Struthio camelus: one gene and its partners. The protein of the gene in region 1 interacts with the protein of each later gene in a pairwise test. Links are inferred from orthologs where the notes say so. Each region holds a gene or a part of one and is shown in the gene's direction. Other genes may lie near its edges. The genes, in order: SSX2IP, TOP3B and MORN4.

What was found.
Region 2: the proteins of SSX2IP (region 1) and TOP3B interact in binary tests that used the Homo sapiens proteins (3 or more experiments, as listed by UniProt). The two-hybrid records come from large-scale screens. The link is inferred for Struthio camelus from reciprocal best matches to the Homo sapiens genes SSX2IP and TOP3B.
Region 3: the proteins of SSX2IP (region 1) and MORN4 interact in binary tests that used the Homo sapiens proteins (3 or more experiments, as listed by UniProt). The two-hybrid records come from large-scale screens. The link is inferred for Struthio camelus from reciprocal best matches to the Homo sapiens genes SSX2IP and MORN4.

Annotation. Positions count from the first base shown.
Region 1 is NC_090949.1:21,546,786-21,550,529, forward strand, and holds the start of SSX2IP (afadin- and alpha-actinin-binding protein), read left to right. Parts: upstream 1-1,512; 5' UTR 1,513-1,675; intron 1,676-1,737; exon of another isoform or gene 1,738-1,800; intron 1,801-2,042; 5' UTR 2,043-2,184; intron 2,185-3,744. UniProt on the Homo sapiens protein: Belongs to an adhesion system, which plays a role in the organization of homotypic, interneuronal and heterotypic cell-cell adherens junctions (AJs).
Region 2 is NC_090958.1:10,358,693-10,362,436, forward strand, and holds the start of TOP3B (DNA topoisomerase 3-beta-1), read left to right. Parts: upstream 1-1,507; 5' UTR 1,508-1,601; intron 1,602-2,018; 5' UTR 2,019-2,129; coding exon 2,130-2,199; intron 2,200-2,937; coding exon 2,938-3,069; intron 3,070-3,744. UniProt on the Homo sapiens protein: Releases the supercoiling and torsional tension of DNA introduced during the DNA replication and transcription by transiently cleaving and rejoining one strand of the DNA duplex.
Region 3 is NC_090948.1:17,027,624-17,031,367, reverse strand, and holds the start of MORN4 (MORN repeat-containing protein 4), read left to right. Parts: upstream 1-1,150; 5' UTR 1,151-1,289; intron 1,290-1,474; coding exon of another isoform or gene 1,475-1,888; exon of another isoform or gene 1,889-1,925; intron 1,926-2,982; exon of another isoform or gene 2,983-3,056; intron 3,057-3,744. Other genes in the region: PI4K2A (phosphatidylinositol 4-kinase type 2-alpha), read right to left, coding at 1,475-1,888. UniProt on the Homo sapiens protein: Plays a role in promoting axonal degeneration following neuronal injury by toxic insult or trauma.

The DNA of each region.
Region 1 (3,744 bases):
CTTCATTTTGCTTTTTTTTTTTTTTAGATATTTGTGATTATTTGCACTGAGTTCTCCGATATAACAGCTAAATGTAGAGAGAATATTGAACCAATAAAGGTAAGTTTACAGAGAATGGAGCTATTCTTTGGAGACTCAGGAGTCACTAGAAATTAAACCGTTTGCTGTATTAAAAATATTATTTTATTCACTTGAACCTGTTCTGTTCTCCTGATCTTTAAAAACAAAAACATAATTAAGGTCATAAAAATAGAATTAAGGTCGTAATTTTAAAAAGTTATTGTTAATTAACCTGGAAAGAAATGAGGGTGAAAATGTCACGTTATACAGGGCAAAATAGAAACTGATTACACCTTCCTGTACAAAAATGTAAAAACAAAGGGATGTGAGGTGAAATGAGACATCAGCAAGCTTATACCAACACACAAAATCGAGAATTAAATCTTACAGGCATACCTATGCATGATTCGCAGGATTTAATGTGCTTGGTTAGGAACGGGGTAGGTATCTGGAAAAATCAGTGAGGAAGTCACTGAGTCAGTAAAGGCTGTCGTCTTGCAAACGCAGGTAAAGAGGGTAATCGCATCTTACATAGCATGACTATTCAATTAATTTTACCGAGTTCTATTGGGTAATTTTACCAAAATTCCCACACACTGGGTGAGGTATGCTGGGTTATCGCCACTGCTGCTCGGCGGGCAGGGAGGAGCCGCGTGCTGTGGTGGTGCTCGACGCCCTCGCGGCAGGCAGGGCAGAGGCGCAGGCGCGACCTCGGGCCCGCCGGCCTGGACGCGCCTTGCTCTTGGCGAGTGCCAGGAATTCCTGGTGGGAGCCGATGGCTCGAGTCGGGAATGCCGTGGCTTCAGGCAGCGCCCAGCAATGGGCAGGATCAACTATGAAGTTTTCTAACTTCTTCAGGAGTGTATTATTGCAGAAACCTGAGTTTAGACTAGCGGAGTAGCAGCACGATACAGCGAAAGGCTTCCTATGTTTTTGTGTCCAGCTGCTCAAATAGTCTTCAGTAGTCTGACTAGTACGTGGGAAAGAAAAGCAGCACCATATTGTTACAGTCGAGGACAAGGGTTAACTCTTAGGATAGATTTTTCAAAACTGGTGACCGTTCCTGGGGGAAAAGGAGACCGCAGCGCGGGCCCAACGCGCGGCGAGCAGGCAACGCTCGGCGCGCGCGGCGCTCCCCTCAGCCCGGCTAACGGCCCTTTCCCCTCCCTCGCCCCCGCTCCTCCGCCCTCGGTCTCCGCCTCGCACCCACGCGCCTGCCAACAGGTGCCGAGAGCGGCCCAGGCGACGCGGGGCCCCCCGCGCCCTCCCGCCGTGGCTCTGCCCCGCCGCCCCGCGGCTGCGGTCGAGGTCGGGGTGGGGCCGAACGCGGTTTGGGGGGGGGGGGGGGGCGGAGCAGGTGTCGGCGCGGCCTCAGCCCCGGCCCCAGCCCGCCAGGGCGGTGCAGGCTCTTGTTGAAGGTCTCCTAGCAACTGCTCGGCCAATGGGAGTGGCGCTGAGGCGGGGGTGGGGGGGTTAACCCTGCGGGGCCCGGCGAGGGGCCGGAGCGGCGCTAGGTGTGGAGCGTGGAGCGGCGCTCGCTCGCTCGCTCGGGGGCCGGCTACCTCCCCCGTTCCTTCCCTCCTCGCCGCGGCCGCAGCAGGTGGTGCTACGCGGGGTGAGTGCGTAGCACTCCTCATCGGCGAGGCAGGAGGGTCCTGCGGAGAGCCCGCGGGGGGGGGGGGGGGGGGAGGGCGCTCCTGCCTGTGAGGCGCGGCAGTAACGGGCGCTCCGCGGACGTTGGTGAGGCGCGCGCGGGGGGGTGGGGGGAGGAGAGGGCGCGGGCCCCCGGCAGGCCGAGGCCGGGGCCGGTGCCGGAGTGCGGCGCGGGGCTGTGCCCCCCCCCCCCCCGGGCTGCCGAGGGAAACGGCGTCGCCACGGCCTGGGCTCCCCACGGGACGCTCCGTCCCCCGCGGCGCGCCGGGGGGGAGGGGCTGCGCCGCGCTGTGATGTTGTGGATCTTGACATGTGCCCCTTCTTGTCAGGCTCGGGCTAATCCGCAGGGACGGGGAGGGCTAGATTAGCTAGTCCGTCTGCAGTTTGCCGCCTGACCCCCCTGCCCTCCCTCCCCGAGGCCCAGCATTTTGTTGATCTCTATGCGCCTGCAGGCAGCAAACACTCGAAGAGGTGAGAGCCGTAAAGCTTTCTACTGAGTCAGTGAATTTCTGACAGCGTTTGGATTTAGCTGGTAGTTTGGTGTGATATAATAAGAGAGGATCCATAAAAGAGATTCTGGCTGCATTACCTTGGCCTTATTTTGGTTTAAAAATAAAGATTCTCCCCCCTGCAGCAAAACCCAGTTCAGTTTGAAGATCAAGTGGTAATATAAGATCACTTTATAGTATTGCTGCATTGCCTATTTATATAGAGCACTTCACTGTTTACTGTGCTGTCATGAAATAGTAGTTATGTGGCACACATATGCTATGATGGTATGATAGGAATTTCAGGGGAACAATTTAAAGAGGCATTGTGAAATAAAATCTAAACATATCAAGTAAATTTTAATGGCAAGTTTAGAAAAAAGGCACAGAGAAGTAAGTTTATGTCATTGATGGCAATTTCAGATGATAAGTAGCTGGGGGGAAAAGGCGTGATTTTCTGCTTTGGGGGAAAAAAACCCCATAGTATTAAAGTTGGCTGTCATTTGGACTGTAGAGAGGACAATACCAGAATTGGGTTCAATACCTTGTCTTGAAAGTGGCCGGCAGCAGATGCTAAGAGAAAGAGCATAAAATTAGAGGCTCGTTGTACAGTGGTGATTTTATGAGTGTATCCTCCCAGTTTACTGCAGTCTGCTGCTGAGGGATTTTTGAGCATAGGTTTGTTCTTGCTCTGTCTCTCTCTCTCGCTCTCTCTTTTAAACTTGATAGCTATTGATGAATATTTTTCCACGAATTTGTCTCTTTGTTTTTGGAGCCAGGTTACGTTTTTAGCATCCACGACATCTCTTGGTGATGTGAGTCCACAATTTATGTTTTCTGTAGGGGAATAATGCTCTCATTTATTTTCCAAATTTTACCTTGATTGTTTAATTTAATTCAGAATAGTTGTGTTAAGAGAAGCAATAAATACTTACTCTCTGTACATGTTTTTCGTACCTTTGTGCTGTTTCTCCATTTGTTTCTTCTCCTAGCTGAAAAGTCACAGCTTATTAACTCATTGCATGGGAGGATTGCTTTACCACCTTTGCACCATTTTCAGTTCTGCTCTTCCTTTTATAGAGGGAAATGTAAAACTGCATATGCTATTTACACTGGGGAAGCTTTATGTTTATAGAGTGACATAATGGTGTTCTCTTTTCTGTCCTCTGCTCCACTGTACTGTTGACTGCCTGTGAGTTTTACTTTCAGAGGAGTAGTCGTAGTGACCCTGAGATCTCATCCTGTGTGATAATTCCTAATGTAGAGCCTGTTATTTTAAGTACATGGCTGACTTCAGTATTTTCATTATGTATTAGTTTGTGTTTATGAACACTGAATTTCAGCTGCCAATTTTTATCATCTGTTTGCATAGGATGGGGACAGCCTTCTGCAGTTCTTTTCATTCAGTCTTAGTATTTATTTTTCTGAATAACTCTGTATCATAAGTGAGCTTTCTCACTTCACTGCTCATCACCTTTTTAAGTTTGTTGAGAGCAGAGGTGCCAGCACACAGTCTCTTTGAGACTCTAATTTCTTCTCTCTG
Region 2 (3,744 bases), on another chromosome or scaffold:
CAAAATTGCTTTTTGGTTCCAGTGGAAGAACTTTGTGCATGGACTGGGAGAAGGAAACAGCGGTGGTAAATTTTTCTGGTGCTTTGGTGTCCAGTAAATATCTAATATCAATTCCCTATTGTGAGCTTATCCATTTCCTATTCCTATTGGGAATTGCATTCGCATGCTTATTGTGAGGATCACCAAAGCATTTAGAAACATTCCTGTTAAATCTGTTAGTGGAATCTAGTTTACTTGTGCAAGAAGACAGGACGAGGATCAAGGATGGGAGGTGCGCGCACGTGTGTATACCTGCCCTCTCCTGGGCAGAGGCGGAGGTGCCCAGGAGCTCTCCTGTATGGCGCTCTCCTTTTGAAGTCAGTAATTTTCGTTCATTATGACTGAAATTAATGTTTTGAGAGACAAAATACTAGCTATCTTCTCTGCTGTATTCAATTCCCCTGCAAGGGGCTTACAACAAGGATAGAGGCACGGGCTGCTGTGGCAAAGGTGGTTGCAAGGCACCCATAAATAGACTGGATTTGATTTATCAAACCAGGTTTGATTATTTACAGTTTTTCAGGTGAGGCCAACAGCAAGGAGCAGAGCCTTTGTAGCTCTCTATTTCCCTCACGGAGATCCCACACTTTGTCTCGCGCTCATTTTGCAGCAGCATGTAAAGCGTTTTTTATGCCGTGCAAAAAGCACGACAACGAAGGACGAGGCTGCGACTACTCCTGGCGCTCTAGCTCCTGATGAGGCGCATTAAGAGTTATTAACCAGCACGGCCGGGGTGGCTGGCAGGGCTGCTCGCATTCGGTCAGGGAGACGCAGGTAAAGCCACGTAGCTTGCCCGAGGCCATTCTGACCGGACTTGGAGAGGAAACGTCGACGCGGACCGTCGTGCTGGGGACGGGGACGTTTCGGCCAGGCCAGGTGGTGGCCACAGCAGCCTCCTGCTGCTGGAAGAGGCAGGTTGCCACCGCAGCGAGACCTGAAGGAGGTGAGGCCTGGCCCTCCGGCGCCGGCGAAGCCAGCGGCACGAACGCAAACGCGGCGACGCCGAGACCCCGCCAGCACCGGGGCCGATTTATGGCAAAGCCCGCAGCCCTCCCCCACAACCCCCTCACAGGCGCCCTCCCGTCCCACCCCCTTCACACCCTCCTCGCACCCTCTCACACACACCCCCCTTCAACCCCCCTCACACACCCCCACAGCCCCTTCACATCCCTCACCCACGCACCCTCCTCACACCCCCCCACCCCTTCACACACGCTCCTCCCTGCCCTCCGCGCTCCTTCTCACTCCCACCGCCCCCACACCCCATGTACCCCCTCACGCACACGCCAAAGCCCCATACACACCCCATTTACCCCTACACACACCCCTCGTAACCCCCTCACACCCCATACACCCCCCATTTCCACCCAGCCCGCCCCTCGCGCCGCCAGGGGGCGCCGGGGAAGGGGCGGGGGGAGCCGCGCGGTTCCCGCCGAGGGGGCGGGGAGCGCCGCGCCCGCCCTTTCCCGCTTCCCCCCGGGGCGGCGCCGGCCACCTCCCCCTCCGCGCCTTCCGGCTCCGTGACCCGGCAGTGCAAGCGGAGGCGATGGCCGCCCGCTGAGGTTGTGGCGCGGCGGGGACGGGAGCGGCGGCGGCCGGGACGGAGCGGGGGGGAGGGGGGGGCGGAGTCGCCGCCCCGCACTTCACCTCGGTGAGGCCGGGCCGCTTCCCGCCGCCGCCTCCCCGCGGGGGACTCGAACCCGCGGCCCCTGAGGGGCGGCCGCGCCCGGCGGCGGGAAGCGGAGCGGGGCCGGCGCGGCCCGGGGGCGGCTGCCCCGCGGGGCCCCTTGAGGCGCGCGGGCCCCGGCCGCTGCTCAGGGCGGTGGCGCCGCCGGTCGCCCCGGGGCGGCCCCTGCCCCCTGCGGGGCCGTTAGGAGCTGCGAAATCTGCCCTTGCGCCGAGTTTTGGCAGCGCTCCTAGGGTTTTTTCCCCTAGAGGTGGTTTTGTAGTACACGCTGTTCTGTGCTTTCTCTCCCTAGAGTGAGAATTAACCCCGTGAGAGCAGGTTTTCGTCCCTGAGCTGAGCGCTGCGGCCTCCAGCAAACCCAGATCGCACCGTCGAGCTCTGTGGCGCGTCTCCTCGGCTGAAAATGAAGACCGTGCTGATGGTTGCAGAGAAACCTTCCCTGGCTCAGTCCATCGCCAAGATCCTCTCGCGGGGTAGGGACGAGAGCGTGTTGGTTTCGGCCCTACTGCTTGTCGTCCGGCCGGTCTAAGTCCTCTAGGACTCCCAGGCTTTACTGAGGAAATGCGTGTAGGTTGAGTAGGGACATGATGCAAAGGCTTCCCCGTGGTGAAATGAGGTGGGAAACCCCCTGGACAGCTGCTTTCTTGTCTTTGGAGCAGCTGTCACTGAGAGCACTGTGGTAGGACGGGTTCCAGTCCATAAAGTACCTGGATGGCATTCCACGTTTTGTTTGGTTTTGTTTTGTTTTTTTTTTTGTCTGCTAACACCTGTTCAATCCCAGGGTAAATGAGCCTGCTTTTATTTAGTGTAGCGGCAGTGTGCATTAGTGCGTACGGTTTCTGGAAAGCGCCGGTTAAGTAGCAAGTTGTTGTTCTGAGATTTTTGAAATATCTTATAAGTCATGGAAAACAGAATGAGTATAGTTGTACTGATCCAGAAAAGAAGAAGTCTTTTCATAAGAATTTCCTGGTGGGAAGAAAAACACAGAGGAGATCCTGGATAATTTCAACTGGAAATGAAATATGCTAAGAAAGGCCCAAAGTGATAACTGGCTGGAGAAGAACTTGGTTGAAGAGTGGAAGCCTGTGATCAGGAAGACCGTACCTGTGAGATCTAGAAAAAAGGGGGGAGGTAGCTGATTTCAGAAGAGGTAATGCCTCTTTCTTTGAATAGTTTTTTTTAGCCTGTTGATATTTATGTTCTTCTCACAGGAAACATGTCCTCTCGCAAAGGACTGAATGGTGCGTGTTCTGTGCATGAGTACGCTGGATCATTTGTAGGACAGAGCGCCCATTTCAAGATGACATCTGTGTGTGGTCACGTGATGACTTTGGATTTCATAGGTGTGTGTCTGTTCATAACCTTTTTTAACTGATATGGCTTGCAAAACTGTCTTGGGACTTCTAGTGGGAAAATGCTGATTGTGAAAATGACTCAGAGAGTTAGCATTAGAGCGGAAATGGGGATGAAAGGGTCACTAATGGTCAGCAGTTCTGATTTTTCTTTCTAGTTCTGTAGCTGACTTCTTGTATCACCTTAGGCAGAACGCTTATCTTTTCTGTGCCTCAGTGATGTTACCAGAAAATAAGGGGATATGAAGCTCAGTGTGCCAGCCTGTAAAAATGTTTTGGTGTTCTTGAAGGAAAGATAATTAAGGAATGCAGAGTCTAAAGGGAGACTGTCTAATACATCGTAGTGTATTTTGGTAAAGTGGAGATATGGTAAGGGTCATGTGCAAGGGTTCTGGTCACTAACTTGCTTTGAAATATTGGACTAGCCATGTGACTATTTCCTCTCATGCTAACTACCTCACAAGTTTGATGAGGACTAATTCTTGAGTTGTTTACACAGTACGTTAGAGAGGTACGGTGTCATGTAGTTGCTAAGTAATATTACTAACAGTTAGTTCAGAGATACAGAAATGAACAAATGCACCGATACTACAAGATGACACAGGATGCTCCATGATAGACATTTATTTGCAGGGCTGAGACATAACTGGCCATATGTAATGAACA
Region 3 (3,744 bases), on another chromosome or scaffold:
CATGCCCTGGGGAGCAAGTCCAGCAGGGCAGGAATAGTCCTGGAGCAAGGACGAGAGGCCTGGCAGCAGTGTTCCCTTTCAGACCTGCGCTGGGGGCAGATTGGGAAGTAGCTTGCTCAGAGCACCGTGGAGCAGTGAAAATGGATCAGCACCAGCAGCAGGGAAGGGGGAGCCAAGCCAGCCTGGAGGCCCAGCCAGCAGCTGGGGTAACCTCAACTGCCAGGACTGCAAGGAAGCACATCATGTAAGGTCCTAGCTGGGAGAGCTCAGGTCCTCAGCCTCCCAGAGGGAAGCAAGCACCTGACCCCATCTCAGAAGGTTTTCCTCAATGTCCTCAATCTTTCCCTTGCCCCAGCCTGTCCATCACAGCACTGCACTCCCTCCCACACCATCAGCAGGCAGGTTTCAGTGACCCTGGACAGCCCAGGAACAACACATGCACCTTATTCACAGCAGGATAGGCCAGGGAGACCGGCCTGGGATACAGCCAGGAGCACACAGACTTTGGCTCCTTGCACACTTCCTCCATCAGTCCTCACTGAGGCCTGGCATCCTCTCCCTACAGCCAGGCAACCACTGCCCTACAACCTCAGGGCAGCTTGTCCAGCTGCCCACACCAGCAACAACACCATGTCTCCTGTTGGGCAACAGAAGGCTGGCACAAAAGGAAGTTGCACACTCTCTGTATTGCCCCACAGACAGCGCAGCTGAGACCTGCCTGTGAGAGCTCCCTGCCTCCACCCAGGGCAGAAAAGCCAGAGCATAGCAAAGACACATGAGCCCAGTCCTGCTTCCTGGGAAGCACCCCAGCAGGCACTTGGCAAGGGAGTCACAGGAAGCAGCAGCAGCTCGAGTATTTGAGTTGGGCGCTGCAGGTCACAAGGCAAGCCATGCTGTGCTGCACACGCAACTAGCCAGTGGTGTGGAGATGGCTGCCAAGCAGATCTAAAGAGAGTCAGCTCTGCTGAGGACTTTGTGTTGAGTCAATCTCCCACACGCCCACAGAGGGGAACTCTTACTCCAGTCTCACAGACCAGAGAATGGTGCAGCCATCAAAGCCTCAGCCCTAAGGCTGAGGTCACCACAGTAAGCAGATGCTGATCGGCAGGAAGAAGCGGGCTGCGGAAGAGGGGGCAGCCTTCCTGCGGCTCCACTGCTCTCCGTGTGCGACGCCTTGCGGCGTTCCCAACCGAGGGAAGCCGCCCGGGGCTCCTGGCAGGACAGCCCCACGCTGCTCCTATCAATCCACAGAAGCCCAGATCGATGTCACGAGCTGACCCGGCCTGAGGGTGAGCACAGCCCTTGCACCGGCCAAGCCCTGCCCGAGGCGGGCCCTCCGCCAGGCCGGCACAGCACCCTCACCAGAGGCCTCTGCCAGGCTGCACCGGCGGCAGGGCAGGCAGGCAGCCAGCCCCGGGGGGCCTCTCCCGGGGGCGCGGGGAAGGGCCCGGGGCCCCGCCGGTGCCGGGCTCACCCCCTGCGGGTCCTTGACGAAGTAGCTGCCGCTGGAGCCCTGCGAGATGCGCTCGGGGTAGATGCCGCGCTCGCTGGCCAGCTCAGCCCGCCGCACCACCTCGGCGAACTCGGGGTCCTCGGGGAAGTCGTTCCGCTCCCGCTGAGCAGCCGCCGCCGCCGCCGCCGCCGCCGCCGCCGCCGCCTGGGCCTGAGCCTGGGCCTGGGCCTGCGCCGCCGCCGCCGCGCCGGGGCCGCGCGCGCCGCGCTCCAGCAGCGGCTGCCGCTCGCGGTCGCGGCCGCCGGGGGAGCCGGGCGGCGAGGGCGGGGGCGGGGGTGGCGGCGGCGGCAGCGGGGCGCGCACGGCGCCGCCGGGAAGCCCGTAGTCCGGGGCCTGCGCCCGCTCCGGCGACACCAGCGGGCTCGTCTCGTCCATGGCTCCCGCCGGGCCCGCGCGGCGCGCGCCGTCAGCTGACCGCCACTTCCGCCGCGTCACCGCCGCCGCGCCCCATTGGCCCGCCCGCCCGGCGTCCCGCCCCGCCCGCTCCCCATTGGCCCGGCCCCCTGCCCTGCGGGCCGCGGCCGTTGCCATGGGGACGCCGGCCCGCCATGGCGGCTGCCCCCGCTGCCGCCGCCGCCCCGTCCCACGCAGGAGACGCGGGTGCCTAGGGGAGCGCTGGGCCGCAGCGCGCTTGCGGGGAGGCCTGGCCTGTTAGAGCTCCCTTGCTCGCTCCGACAGGACCAGGGGTACCAGGAGGCGGGTGGAGCTAGTTCTGCAGAGGCAGAGGCCCAGAGCCAGAGGGCCAAGGCTCAGACCAGGCTCTTGCTGGCCGCCGATCTCCTCTAGTGCTTATCTCTGTTTCAGTATGTACTAGGTCAGATGTTGGTGCTTTCTGCAGGCTTTTCTGGCCTCGCACCAAAGACGGGCCTTGTGCGTTCAACAGCTTGTAACGCCAAGGGCCCTGCAGCTCGCACGCCCCCAGCACAGCTTCTCTCCCGCGCTGCTGGTAGCTTTGATCCATCCTCCCTTGCCCAGCTGTGCCGGACACCGGGGCCGCACGCCTCACGGCATTGGACGCTCTTCTGGGGGCGAGCTCACCTGCTGACTGCAGCGCTTGCCTGCCTTGTGTCCTTCCTACCGGCCTCCCCGAGGATGTGTGATTTGCTGCTTTTCCACCACCTCTCATCCAGGTGCGAAGGGGAAAAGCACTTTAGAAAAGAGAGCCGACACAGACTGCCTTGGCGGCCCCCTGCCCCACACAAAGATGGCCGCTCAGGAGTTGAAGGGGCGCCCCCCGCTGCCCTTCACAAAGATGGCGGTGTCTTGGGTTGGGGGCGGCGCCCCTCAGCGGTGGCACCGCCGGGGAGGAGATGATCTTGCCCCTCACAAAAATGGCGGCGGAGGAGAGGGGGCGTTAGAAAGCTGGCCAATGAGGAGCCGCGTTGCTAACAGTTGCCATGGATACAGCCAACGGCTTGCGGGGATGGATGCTGGCGGCGCTGCGCCGCCCGACGGGGCGGGGGGCTGGCAGGGAGGTGGCCGTGCCACCGCCCCTCGGCGGGACCCCGGTGGGGAGCGGTGCGGGCGGCGAGCGCGGAGCCAGGTGAGCGCTGGCGGCGGGTGCCGTGCGCCGCCCGGCCCGCCCCGGCGTGCCCGCCCCGCCCGTGGTGGTGGGCACCGGGCATCCGTGCATCGCCCCCGGGGCACGGCCCGCCTGGGGTGTGCACGCATCACTCCTGCGTGCATGGCCCGCGTGAGGTGTGCATGCATCACCCCTAGATGTAGGTGCATGGCCCGCGTGGGGTGTGCACGCATCACCCCTGGGTGCATAGCCCGCCTGGGGTGTGCAAGCATCACCCCTGGGTGCATGGCCTGCGTGGGGTGTGCATGCATCATCCCGGGTGCGTGGTCCGCGTGGGGTGTGCATGCATCACCCTGGATGCATTGCCTGCCTGGAATCTGCAAGCAACACCCCGGGTGCATAGCCCACGTGGGGTGTGCATGCATCACCCCGGGTGCATAGCCCGCGTGGGGTGTGCACGCATCACCCCTAGGTGCATGGCCCGCGTGGGGTGTGCATGCATCACCCCGGGTGCATTGCCTGCCTGGGGTCTGCAAGCATAGCATCACCCCTGGGTGCATGGTCCGCCTGGGGTATGCACGCATCACCCCTGCGTGCATGGCCTGCGTGGGGTGTGCATGCATCACCCCTGGGTGCGTGGCCCGCGTGGGGTTTGCACGCATCACCCCTGGGTTCATGGCCCACATGGGGTGTGCATGCATCACCCCTG